Linked DNA regions of Daphnia pulex. The protein of the gene in region 1 interacts with the protein of each later gene in a pairwise test. Links are inferred from orthologs where the notes say so. Each region holds a gene or a part of one and is shown on either strand. Other genes may lie near its edges. The genes, in order: transcription initiation factor TFIID subunit 1-like and transcription initiation factor TFIID subunit 4-like.

Region 1 (6,469 bases):
ATTTCCTCCTCTTGATCCTCCGTCATGGCCACAACCATCGGTGGCAACGGGGTGGTGTTTTGATAGAGCGGGCAAGCTTTATTGGTCCTCATGTGACCCACCTATCGATACATTAGCATAATTAATAAACAGAAACAAGGCCGTTAATTACAAGGAAAGTTACCTGTCCGCAGGCACCGCATTTCATTTTCAAATCGGGCTTCATCTTGACTTTACGACGGCGATTGTTAACGATGCCTAATTTCTCTTTTTCTTGATTGCGTTTGAGTCGTCTGAGTTGCTCCTGGATTCGACGTTTCTCACGTTTCATTTCCTCCTTTTGGTGCTCGTCGGGCGTGGCAAACTGTTTGATGAAGGCGTCATCTTTGGTCGTTCGTATTCGGACGTAAGTGTCGATGATGGCCGGTTTGCGAACCAATTCAACGCGGGTGTAGTCTTTGCCCTCGGCGTTTTTGAAGGTCCGGAAAATTTTGAGCACTCGACCGGCCTGTCCGGCTCCTGCCAGCGGCGGTTGAGATGAACTGTCTTCTTCGTCCAGTCCTACACGGCTCTTATCTTTCTTCATGGAGCCCGATCCTTCGCCGAGGATCATCTTTTGCAATTCACGACGCTCCTGTTCTTCCCGCTCTCGGCTCAACTGGCTGGACGTCTTTTTATTGGCCAGCATGTTTTCAATGTTTTTACCCATTTCTTCGATATCAGAAATGTCTTCCTCCTCTTCGCTTTCGCCTTCGTCGGTGGACAAAACTTCGTTCGAGGCCAGGACTCGGTTTTGAAGATCAAAAATGCGTTGACACTCCTCCTTGTATCGCTCCTGATGCTCGGCAATGGAGAAGCGATTACCACGGGAGAATTTGTCCATGCCTTCCTCGCCGGCCTTGGCCTTTTCGGTGGAAAGTGTTCGGACGACGTCAATAACTTCCCAGCGGGAGAGTTTCTTGATTTCCTCCTCAGGTACGCCGTGTTTCCTCAAAATTGCTTTTGCGTTGTTGAGTGACAATCGACGCAAATCGGCGTCGGTGCCCGTCACAATACGTTTAGGTTGAGATTCCAGCTCTTCCTTGTTGATGGTCGGTTTGTTGGGAACGCGGACGTAGGAGAAACCTTCGCCACAACCGGTAGGATCTGCCGGACCTGTTAATTGCAGGAGACATTTGTTTTTCATGGCCTGGACGTAGGCGCGGGTGGTGTTCCATGGGGCTACTTTGACTTCGTCGTCCATTTTCAGTTGCTGGTCTTCGTCGTCATCCTGCTCAGGTGCGAAAAGGAATTTCTCACCGTAACCGGCGTCTTTCAAACGCTGTTCGGCCGCGATCATACTGAAATAGGCGCAACATTGCTCCGGCGACACTAACGCTCGAAGCTCTTCTTCCGAAGGTAACCGGAAATCCGGCCGCAATACCCACCTGTTGAATTTGTCGGTAACCAAAAATGAGCAATTTGGACATCCGTTGGAGTATGAATTATTATACTACGAAATACCAATTGGAGTCGACTCCTGTTCGCTTAAAGTCCGCGCATAGTTTCAACCGTTTGCGGATACTGCTTTCGGAATGTGCTGGGAAAGCTCGTTTAATGTCATCCATGCGGATACGACGTGGAGTGTCGGGGCTCTTCCAAAACAGTCGGTAGATAAAGACCTGAATTAAAATAAACATTTTGTTTGGATGTTTCATAGAAGACTATTAGAATGACTTTAGTTGAATACTTGTAGGAAATCGCGGGTAAAGTTGTTGGCTCTTTTAGAATTCGGACCGGGCACTTCGTACAGTGGACATTCCTGACCGACAGTGTAGAATGCATCGACTTCACGGACATGGTACGTTGTCCGCGTTCGAATTACTAGGAAATCCGTCGACGGCAATTGATGTTCGTAGATTGGTGCACGGTACATGTTGTTTTCAATAGCCTGGATGGACTGGCCCGGATGGAGGGTACCCAAAAACGGTGAGGTGTGAGCGTAAGCTGTTTCACCGTATTTGTATTGAGGCGGCCCTGTGTCTTTGACAGCCCTGTGAAATAAATTAAATTTAAGTCTCTCGATCAAATTCCGTTTTAAAAATGAAAACTCACTTCCGTTTGTAATAATTTTTCAGCCTGGAGGACATGCCCACTTGACTGATTAACGGCGGGTGTTCTTCGCAGTATTCCAGGAGAATGAGATCACCATCTTTACCGCTGAGATCATCCGGTGTTCGCATGAAAAAGATATCACCACCACCGGCAGCCATTCGCTCGAGTTCACGCTGTTTGGCCATTTTTCTGATGTGGCGTAGGAGCGGGTGGACAGGATGAGGGCCAGGTGTCGATAACGGTCCATGGGAGTAGCGTTTGAGCGGTGGTCGATGGAAACTGCGCAGTTTCATTATCGACAGGTGCGTGGGAATGAAAGGTGCCTGGAGTTCCACCACGGGCGTTGAATGTTGAATGATATTTCCACCCGTGCTGACTGTAATATTCCATAAATTCCAATTAATTAAGTTTTTAAAATTTAGTTGTGATGGATTAATTTACCTTTGATAGCCGCCTCGGTCGCTTTGGCTGCATAATATTCGTCATTGGAGATATTGTAAGGATCTTTATCGTTATTTTCCGACGGTGGAGGAGGTGAATCGTCTTCCAATACGTTAATGACACCGGCTTTTCCCAAGAGTAACTTGGATTTTCGGACGTGAGGATGAGGAATCTTGACTTTGACAGGCTGTTGAACGTATGCTTGTTTTGTGGCAGGATCAATGTCATCAGGAATGGTCAAAATGACGTTTTCATCGTTAGTGTCTAGTGTCAATATCTTGGGTTTGGGCATCTCCTTCATGTTTTCGCTGTCCCAGATGATGTCATCTTCCCACTGGCCAAACACCAACTCGTCGTTTTCGACTGGGAAAATCGAATGCCAAACGTCGTCGGCTGCCTCTTCGACGGCTGCAGCAGCAGCAGCCGCAGCGGCGGCGGCAGCGGCTGCTGCGGCCGCTCCTCCGGGTTTGTTTGCAGCCGATTTTGCGCCACCTTTAGCTCCAGGAGTTGCTGCTTTACCGGTGGCTGGAGTGGCAGCAGGGGTGGCTTTCTGTGTAGCCAAGCGATTGGTAGCCGTCGGGAGCCATCCTGAGGCTAAGCCACCTTTTGCATTCAATTTTTGCATTACTTTGTGCTTGATATCGTCGCCATTCCAGACCACGTCGTCTTCCCAATTTAACTGCGTGATCATGTGAAAGGCCTCGTCTGGAAATTTGAACCCGGGCAGGTCTTTGCCATCTTCGTCAACATTATTAGGATCTTTCCGTTTCACTTTGAAACCGTAATCAAACTCTTCTCCTATAAAAAGCAAGGAAACGTTAATCAAGTTCAAATAAATAATTAATTAATTGTTATACCTGATTCTGGAACTCCAAGGATGTCATACCAAAGCTGAGCCGGCCCAAACCTCCAATCCGCTACATTGGGTCCTTTGTCATCATCAGAGTTCTTGATATTATTGAGAGCATTAGGATCTTCTAGAGGCTTTAAGAAACGTTCTTCGTCATCTGGTCTGCATTTTTCCGGAGGAGGAGGTGGGCCGAATTTGAAAGTGATTTCTACATGTTCAATTTCCTCTTCAACATAGTCTTCTGAATCTGGAGATTTCTTCTTCTTTCTCTTCTTCTTTACACCTCTCCAGATTTGAGGAAGACTACTGGGTTTTCCAGGCCCAAAGAGTCTGGAAAAGCACAAGACTTTGTCAGGCCGAAAGTCTGGGAATAGCTCTCTCACATCTATGTTAGCGTATTTGGAAGGAAGCATGGCTGCCAAAGGCGTTTCCAATCGTTTCTTTGCCTCACTTGCCGAAAGGCTCTTGGATGTTGGTGTAGGTGGTGGTGGCATGAGGATTGAGTCATCAAGATATGGTCCTCCTTCGTCTTCTGCCAGTTCGTTGATGTCAGAATAGTCTTCAGCAGTTGGAGATTTTGCTCCATCATCTTCAGAATCTGTACTTTGATCTTTGCTTACAGAATCGTCTTCTCTAATGACATTTTGAAGTATTGACATCAAGCCAAATCGTCCAAGGGTGCCCAGCTGACGTTTAGATTCCTCATCAAGGATATCTGCTTCAAGTTTACCCTCTTTGTCAATATTACCAAAGAGGAACCCAGTAAGGTTTAATCCTGATGTTCTTCTACCTCCTCCACCTCCGTCTTCTTGAGATGATTGCGAATCGTCATCATTATTATCGGGGCTATTACTCAAATCTCCATCATCATCACTACTGTGATTTTCGTTTTCTTCATCACTGCTTGGCATTTTGGATGTTTTAAAATCCTAGCTTTAGAAGAATCACGCAATCATAACAAACACAAATTTAGTTTTACTTTTTTTCGGTCATCAAATCAACACAAACAGGCTGACGGGAAGCCGAAAATTGTCTTGATGGTAAATATGAACAGCGTTGCCAGGTTTAGTTTCAACTCAATTTCAACTTGATTATTTTATTTAAGAATTGTTAAATGACTAAATAATTCCAGAAAAGATCATTGAATTGTTTACATAAATAATTAAGAGAAATAACTGGCCAAACTACGTGACAAGATTCCGTGTGAATTCAGATGACGTCATTCCATAGAGAAATATGTAGGTTATACGGCCCAGTCGAGTTGGCAACTATCCATCAAACTTTCCATTTTTGGTTTCATCCAGATTTTTTTACCCTTTACAACTGAATTCATTTTATGCATTTTCGGGAATTCATTCATTTCGCAATATCGATGAGATGAGATAATTACATAATTCTTGATTACATCAATCGGGTTCATATAGGGTCATTAGGGTCGAAGTACACCCCAATGGGGATTCCTCCCCCTATTTGATAATCTTCTAACATAAAAAAAGTAAAAGGCGCCAAAAGGGCGGCATTTTCCTATCCCCGTCACGTGAAAATGCCTAAGGCACTTGTAAAATCCGTTACTAACGGATTTTTGGATTGGTCCTTAGAAAAATCGAAGTCCCAGTAGATTGGCGAAGGCCTTTCATATAAGCTAACTGAAGTGAATTGATCACAGGTGGCGTTGCACAAAACTACATTCAATTTTAATTAAAAACTGCAAATAACTGAAAAATTACATTTGTAAAATTCTCTTGAAAATAGCACATTATTATTAAGGCAGAGAAATGGTCAATTAAGGTTCAAGAAGTGAAGAAATGATATTGTAAATTATGATCAATTCCGACCTAGCGGTCATGACTGGAAACTTGATTAAATGCGCAATCTCAATCGAGTTGACAGGCCTTTGAATTGTGGCCGTAACCAAGGCACCTTAGAGGGCACCACTGAATTGTTAAAAGACCGAAGGTAGAAACTCAGAGACCAGACTCGTACTCTTCCCTTTCGTGCTCGAAGTCTCAACACGTGCACAATCTGCCCGGCTCTCCCATCGTTTCTGCTTGTTGAAAAAAACCACTGAAAATGTCTGGTAAAACCGCTGATCCTCTGTCCTTTGCCAAGGACTTTATCGCTGGTGGTGTTTCGGCTGCCGTTTCCAAGACGGCCGTCGCCCCAATTGAACGAGTTAAGCTGCTCCTTCAGGTTCAACATGCCTCCAAACAGATCACGGCCGACAAGCAGTACAAGGGTAAGATGGCTGAATCCCCTCCCCCCCCCCTTCTCTAGTTACTTAATCGGGAGAGATATTCTACCGTTGGTTCCGAACCGGCTCACGCCGGCACGGCGCCATGTTGGATCACAAAAAATCCTTAAGTTTTTCTCGCAAAGTTTAAAAGATATTTTTACATTGTTCTTGTATGCTCAGCTAGTATGTTCGTTCGCCTCATGGGCTTTTGATCATGTAAACCAGTTTTTGCTAGTTCTGGAATTGAATGTGTGTGACTTGAAAAGATAAGATTTTGGATTGTGAAAGTAACCATATATGAGTTTTACATGAGACTCATAATTGGGTCAACACCTAGTATCTATATCTTGTGTGAACTGGGTTTTTACAATAATTTATGTTTCTTTTTCCAGGTATTGTGGATGCCTTTGTCCGTATCCCCAAAGAACAGGGCATGACAGCCTTCTGGCGTGGTAACCTTGCCAATGTTATCCGTTACTTCCCCACTCAGGCCCTCAACTTTGCCTTCAAGGATGTCTACAAGAACATCTTCATGAAGGGAGTTGACAAGAAGACCCAGTTCTGGGCCTGGTTTGCCGCTAACTTGGCATCTGGTGGTGCTGCAGGAGCTACCTCTCTTTGCTTCGTCTACCCCTTGGACTTCGCCCGTACCCGGTATTATACAGAATCATACGTAAAAACTAAAAGTACAAAATATGCTAACTAATTGCTTTATTGACTAGTTTGGGTGCTGATGTCGGCAAAGGAGCTGCCGAGCGCGAGTACAGTGGTTTGGTTAACTGCCTAACCAAGACCGTCAAGACTGACGGTATTGTTGGTCTGTACCGTGGATTCAACGTCTCCGTGCAGGGCATCATCATCTACCGTGCTGC
Region 2 (6,586 bases), about 980 kb from region 1:
CATTCGAATGCGATGGGAAGAAAAATGAACATTTGAATTAAAAAGGAGATTCAGGAATGGGAAGGTGAACGTCCACCAGGTCCCAATTCCAATTGAATCTCTTAAGTTGATACAAGATTGAAATGTGGCGTCATTATAAAGCATTCCATGATTTCGTCATAACCATCCACACACTGATACATTATACAAAAGACATAATCATTTCAGAGAGATAGATAGATTGAAATAGAGAGAAAAGAACATTTTCACGCCGCCCCCCGCACAAATAAATCAACAGTATGTACAACAGAAGATGGGCGGGGGACATATGTCGCGAGGAGGAGAAGGAGGAGAAGAGAACAAGGACATGGTTGCATAACGTTGCTCTTAATTAACATAAAGAGTGTCGGTGTGACGGACAGAGGCTTGTTTTCCCCTCCAATAAAACGCTTCATTTTTTTACTCCCATAGGGAAACCTTATGTGCACCTCTCACAGGCATGTTGATGGGCAAACAACTTAACGCTTACGTGTGTGTGTGTTTTTTTAAGAGATGAGGGAGACAAAAGAAGACTACTTGAGATAAGCTTTATACAACAGAGGGGATCTTATAGTTCCTTTCTCTTCTTTTAGCAGGAACAGTAAATCCCGAAGATTTACGCGCTTGACACGCGGTCGTAAAGGCACCTAAAACAAATATTGGAACGGTAAAAATTGAATTCTTTTAATGCAATATAAAGTTCGATTTTACCTGGTTGTAAGAGCCGGTAGTACCAGCCAGGTCGAGTTTGGGCTTTTTCCTTATACCAATAGCTTGCAAGGCTGTCATGTTGGCCTCGCGTTGTCTCAGTTCCTCCATTTCCGCTCGTTGCATCTGTCAATTAATAAATTTTTCAAAGTTTAACAACATTGAATTTGAAGGTGACAGTTATAACGAGATATTTTATCACGTACCTCCTTTGCTTTTGCTTTCAACTTTGCCTGTTCAGGATCTTCAGCTTTCGAACGTGATTTTGCTGCTTTCAAAAGCATTTCGCGTTGAATCTCGCTATGCCTTCGTCGCTCCAACTTGTCCAGTTCCTCGAGGAATTTTAGCTGACCCTTGACATCCTGTTGGACTTCGTAACGAGCGTCTGTTTTGACAACTTCCATTCGATGCTCGGCGGTGACGGCAAGCTTTTCCAACAATGTTTTCAATCGTTCTTGAGTGGCATGTGATATAAGCGAAACTACTTCCGGACTAGGATCTCCTAGACCGTTCCTGGAGGCTAAAAAACAAACGTAATAAAATCATTAGCTTTGTCGATTTCTCTAACAAGAAAACAGATGTCAATACCAATTTGTTGGATTCTCCTCTGCAAGGGACCGGTGAAAAGGAAATTTTCGTCTTTGCAGGATCGAATTTGAGTACCAATCATATCGGTGGAGCCAAGAATACGCTGCGATTCTTCTGCCAAGTTAACTCCACCCATAGCCGCTACATCGTTGATGTCGTTGTCCGCTAGACCAGCTAGAGACGAACCAAACGTAAAAGCTTTTTTCTCCTTCGAAGCGTCTTTGGGCCCAGTTGGTACAGGTAGAGGACCTTTGATACCACCCGGACCAACGGAAACTGTTGCCGCCGAAGTCGTTGGCTTTGTTGCCGTACTAGACGTCGGAACCGAAGACGTCGATGCTACCGTGACCAAAGGTGTAGGACCCGGCGTTATGGCAGTCGGCGCTGATGTTACTCCTCCGACTTGTGGCAGGTGGATGGTAAAAGCGATTGGCGCTGGGGACTCGGAAGTAATGGAAGGCTCCGTCTTGATAGTAGAAACAGCCGTCATTGTGGTCGAGGCAGCGGCCGCCGTTGTCGTGGCAGTCACTTTAGGTGCCTGCTGGGCTGCTTTGGCCTTTGGAGTGGCTTTATTGGCTGCTGGTCTAGGTGGCCGTGGAGCGGGTAGAGTGCCAGCAGAGGCGCCAACCATTGTAGGTGTTTGGAGTCGAACTTGCCCACCCATTGGCCGTACAGTTTGTATCTGCGTTGGCCCGGCGTTCACTCGGTTGACAACACTCTGTTGTTGAGGATGTTGTTGTTGTATAACCATGGGCTGCGGAGCGTTGACCGTAGTTAAGGCTGGCGGTCGGATTCCATCAATATGCAACTCTCGTAAAGCTAGGGATTGTCTCAAGTAGGGCAAGCTTTTCTGTGAAACCAAATAACAAGAATCCAATATAAAGAACAAATACAAACAACGTACAGTCGAGTGGTAGGATCAACTTTACAATACCTTGAGAAATGGAATGAGGCAAGGCTGAGGAGAGGAGTTGAGTTCTCTTTGGAGCTTCGTTGTAAACTCCTCTGGTTCAACCTTCGCATCAACTAAACCCTGAATGAGCATTTGAACGTTAGTGGCCACAGATTCCGGCTGTTCACTCGCTAGACGTAGCAGAGTGGACAAAAAGTTTTTGCACTTGACTTTGGCCGTGTCGGGGGTCATCTGTAAGTGGATATGATAAGTTTTAATAGCCATCCTATTAAACATCGAACTTGTTTGTATTCACCTGTCCAGAATTACTGGCTGGATTTGATGCTGGGGCTGCGGTGGGAGCCGAAGTGTTCGTAGGGGTAACAGACACACTCCCACCAACAGGTGCCGCAGTCGTAGCGGACACAGGTTGAATAGTTGTGGACACGGGGACTTGCAAACGATAAGTAGCCCCAACGTTTTGATTCATCGTGGGCACAGCGTTCGAAGTCGTTGTTAATTGTTGAATATTTTGTTGTTGCTGCTGTTGTTGAGGTTGTTGTTGTTGTTGCTGCTGCTGTTGGGCCACATTTTGCAACGAGGGAATGTTTGAAGTTACAACTTGTGACCCAACTGTCGTGCCGGCTACAGGACCGGGACCGACACGTAAGAGCTGATACTGTCCCGTTTCGGTTTTGACGAGCAAGTGACCCTGAGCTCCCGCAGCCTGGAAACCCTTTTAATTAGAGAATCAATCAGCACGGGGATTTATATTATTAATCGATACGTTACTTGTAAGGCTTGTAAAGTAATTCCCATTTGTCCAGGTCGAGCACCAACCATCTGTTGAGGTGCCAACATCACACGAGGAGCAAGCGTCCGATGAGCTGGATTGTTCAAGGCGGCCATATTTTGTAGGTTTTGTACGTTTTGCGGCCTCATAGCATTCATGTTCACTACTTGCACACCCGCAGGAAGAATTCCTGTCCCCGCACTATTTATCACGGTCGTCTGCTGCTGCTGTTGAACCACTTGGGTCCCCTGTCTTAACACTTGAGATGAATTCAGGGTGACTGTTCCATTAGTGTTCAGCACAGTTTGTTGTTGTTGTTGTTGATGATGCTGTTGCTGTCCCATCACTGTTGTTGAAGCTACTGTTTGGTTAACTTTAGTCGGAATGATCATCGTAGGTTGCTGAGAAGTAGCTGTTGACGCTACCATCTTCTGTTGTTGCTGATGGATCACCATACCAGACAGTGTTGTGTTAACGTTCCCTGAGCTTGTGACCACTGTGCCATTTGGTAGACCAATAGCACCTCCTGCAAATTGTTGGATGTTGACCATACCTATAGGAACGAAAGAAGTACAATCAGTTATCAGCTCATAATCCAAGTCCAATACAGTTTCGTTCATGAAAAAATAACATTGTCGTGTTACCACTGGGATTGCCATTGGGAAGTATTGAATGGACGGTGGTGGTGTTTGGTAAATGAATAGAAGAGACTGAAGAAGGGACCGTTGACAGCGCCGATCCGATCGGAACTGATGCTGCTGGCGCGCAAGTTGTTGTTGCGTGCAGGCTACTGCCGTTTCCCGCGAATGTTGCCGTTGTGGTGGCAGCGGACGGGGTATTGGCAGGCTGCAGCGGTGGAGGAACCGACGAGGTAGAGCTTGTCGTAAAAGCCAAGCCGCCGCCTTGTGTGTTATTACTAGCACCAACATTTGCATTACTCAACTGGCTCTCAAGTGATCCAACTAACGCGGAGACAGCGTCGGCATCCGCTGACGGGTTCGAGATTAAATCGTCCAGGAAGCTAGACGCCATTTTCTGCTCCGAACCCGGTTCCCAAACTGACTGTAAGCAGCTCATTTCCCAACCTCTGCCCTAGCGGCAAAACGTTGAAACGTGTCACTCCTCCCCTAGCATAGTCAAACCACCTAGTGTTCATTTTTCAAACCCTTTACTATATTTTTTTGAATTTTCTACTCTTGTATTTAATAACCGCGTGTGTGCTTACTCTAAAGGATATCATATCAATGAAATATAATAGCGTGTAAATCTCAGAAGTATGGGGCTATTATAAACTTTACAACTTTTCCTATACTATTTGAACTTAGTCAAAATTATCGCTGTCATCGTCCGTTGTCTTGGCGGTTGGTTTCTGGAAGTAAGTCTTCTCAAGGAACTGGCAAGCCTCGACCAGATTCGGGTAGGATCGCACAATGGATGCTAATCTATTGTCGGGCAACGGTGTGGTCAGCAAAGTAAACACATGGCCAAAGACAACCGCATCTAATTCCGTGCATCTAATGACGAGGAACAAAGTCAGCACTTATTTTATTAGAAACCCATTTTAAAAAATTTAATACCTATCATTAAAGAAATAAAGGTGGTTTCCTAATCGCTCACTTAGCGCATTACAGCAATGATCAACATCTTCATATACCTGCAGGAAAATAATAAATAATTTTCTAATGCAAAAACTATTAGACCAAACAAATCACCTCATCAAGTGTTTTGGTAATCCAGCCAAGAGCAGTTAATTTCTTAGTTACTTGTTTCTGTTTTCTCCAGGTTAGCAGAGTGTTCAAAGGCCAAGAATAGACAGAGCCATAACGAGGACCAGTTACTTCATTCAAAACAGTTTCATCACACCAGCTGATATATAACTAAGTAGGAACAAACACTGCTCATCAATCACATAACACACAAAAGTAGTTACAAATATAATAATATAATACCTCTGCATTTCCCAATATATTGTTTGCTAAAGACATGTAAGCTCTCATGTCTGCTTTTTGAGCAGCATCCAAGTGATCTGTAAGATTTATACCCTACAAAAAAAAACACGTCATAAAATGGGATTGTAGAGAAAATATTGAAAATACCTTGTTGCTCACAAAACTGACAACAGGGTCAAGATCAGCTACTACAAAGGCACCACATTTTATGAAAGGCAATTTTCCGGATGGTGACATATGCTCAGCATTGCTTCTCATTTCCACCTAAGAAAAGAAATAAATCAATAACTTAAGATTTCCTTAGTTTTAGTTTTCCAATTTACCTGAAATTCTAAACCACACATTCGCAGAAAAACTTGGACAGCCAAAGAATTGGCTTGATCTTGCAATAGAATTTGTTCAACTTCATAGGGCTGATAAAGTTTGACGTCAGAAGGCCAAGGTTCCAAAGCTATTAGGTTTTTTTAAAAGTGAGAAATAAATGTGAAAATATAAAATATCCAAAATGATTACCTCCAAGCTCTAATGAAATAGAGTCTGTTAGTAAAACTGATGGCATTATCGTAATGAATTAAACTTTTATCGGCTAAAATAAGAAAATCACAACATCAATACGGAATTATTTTTAGATCGGCTGCTGCGGTTTTTATTCAGAGTTGCCAAATTACGCAAAAATGATGAACCCAAAATAAATTTCAAAATTGGATTTTTCTAATAAGCTTAATTTACTGACCAACTAGTAACTAGATATTTAAGAATTGTAGTAAAAATTTGTCATTGAAATAATTATTGCATCATAAATCATAATTATATTTGTAATCAAACGTATTCAAAATTCAAAATGTTTTGCTGTGAAAATACAGGTTGATAGAGAATGTATTAATTAATAAATATTTCTACCAATTTGTTTTTTATATTAAATATAGTTAAATGTTCACCTGTAACGTAACTTTCTGCTTTTCAACGCCCTTCTAAATGCATTTCTACGAAATGTACTTGCCACATCGTACCGCGAAATGCGAATGTCGCTAGAACACGTCGTCGTGCTCCACATAATAATCAGTTCCCTTTTTGCAAGCGTAAATTTCCCTCTAGGACCGACCTGTTTTTGTGTGTTTTGAAATCTGTTTTTAATTTACTGCTCCTGATTTTTACCTTTAAAAAACTTGATTTCTGACCCAAGTTCTATTATTTGTCGAAGTGCGCGTTATTTTCTCGTGATGGTAATTGATACCAATTGATGCTAAAAAAAACCGTAACAATTCAGTATCTTGTTTCCAGGATGCCGAAAGTGGTCGCAACATCAAGTTATTCACAAGTTTTTCATTGACCGCTTTTTTGTAGTGAAATTTCAAGCTATATTTAGCCTTCGAATAAGGCAAACTATTCGGGGATTTATTATTAATGATATGCGAAACGTTTTCCGGGAGCTCTGCCGACTTTTTCCACGAGACAATGACGAAGATCTTCGTTGAGGGTCCATTTCGAGACTTTTTCATTTGTTTGTTGTATTAGAAATTCAAGGAATCGCGTTGTTTGGTGCTATCTGACGTCCTTGTGTCAACAGACCTTGTCATCGCCGTCCCATCGTAGCCCAGACAGACCAAACCTTTTTCGGAGAAGAGTCGTAGACTTTTG

The links.
Region 2: the proteins of transcription initiation factor TFIID subunit 1-like (region 1) and transcription initiation factor TFIID subunit 4-like interact in binary tests that used the Drosophila melanogaster proteins (3 or more experiments, as listed by UniProt). The link is inferred for Daphnia pulex from reciprocal best matches to the Drosophila melanogaster genes Taf1 and Taf4.

What each region holds. Positions count from the first base shown.
Region 1 is NC_060026.1:11,815,688-11,822,156, forward strand, and holds the start of transcription initiation factor TFIID subunit 1-like, read right to left. Parts: upstream 4,417-6,469; 5' UTR 4,276-4,416; coding exon 3,372-4,275; intron 3,313-3,371; coding exon 2,515-3,312; intron 2,450-2,514; coding exon 2,074-2,449; intron 2,013-2,073; coding exon 1,709-2,012; intron 1,641-1,708; coding exon 1,483-1,640; intron 1,407-1,482; coding exon 164-1,406; intron 102-163; coding exon 1-101. Other genes in the region: ADP,ATP carrier protein 1-like, read left to right, coding at 5,435-5,600, 5,990-6,251, 6,320-6,469. UniProt on the Drosophila melanogaster protein: TFIID is a multimeric protein complex that plays a central role in mediating promoter responses to various activators and repressors. Largest component and core scaffold of the complex.
Region 2 is NC_060026.1:12,792,753-12,799,338, forward strand, and holds the start of transcription initiation factor TFIID subunit 4-like, read right to left. Parts: upstream 4,084-6,586; 5' UTR 4,077-4,083; coding exon 3,644-4,076; intron 3,553-3,643; coding exon 2,999-3,552; intron 2,943-2,998; coding exon 2,523-2,942; intron 2,459-2,522; coding exon 2,249-2,458; intron 2,165-2,248; coding exon 1,315-2,164; intron 1,247-1,314; coding exon 933-1,246; intron 853-932; coding exon 730-852; intron 666-729; coding exon 552-665; 3' UTR 1-551. Other genes in the region: metaxin-2-like, read right to left, coding at 4,321-4,513, 4,577-4,653, 4,712-4,876, 4,949-5,041, 5,096-5,212, 5,272-5,399, 5,462-5,507. UniProt on the Drosophila melanogaster protein: TFIID is a multimeric protein complex that plays a central role in mediating promoter responses to various activators and repressors.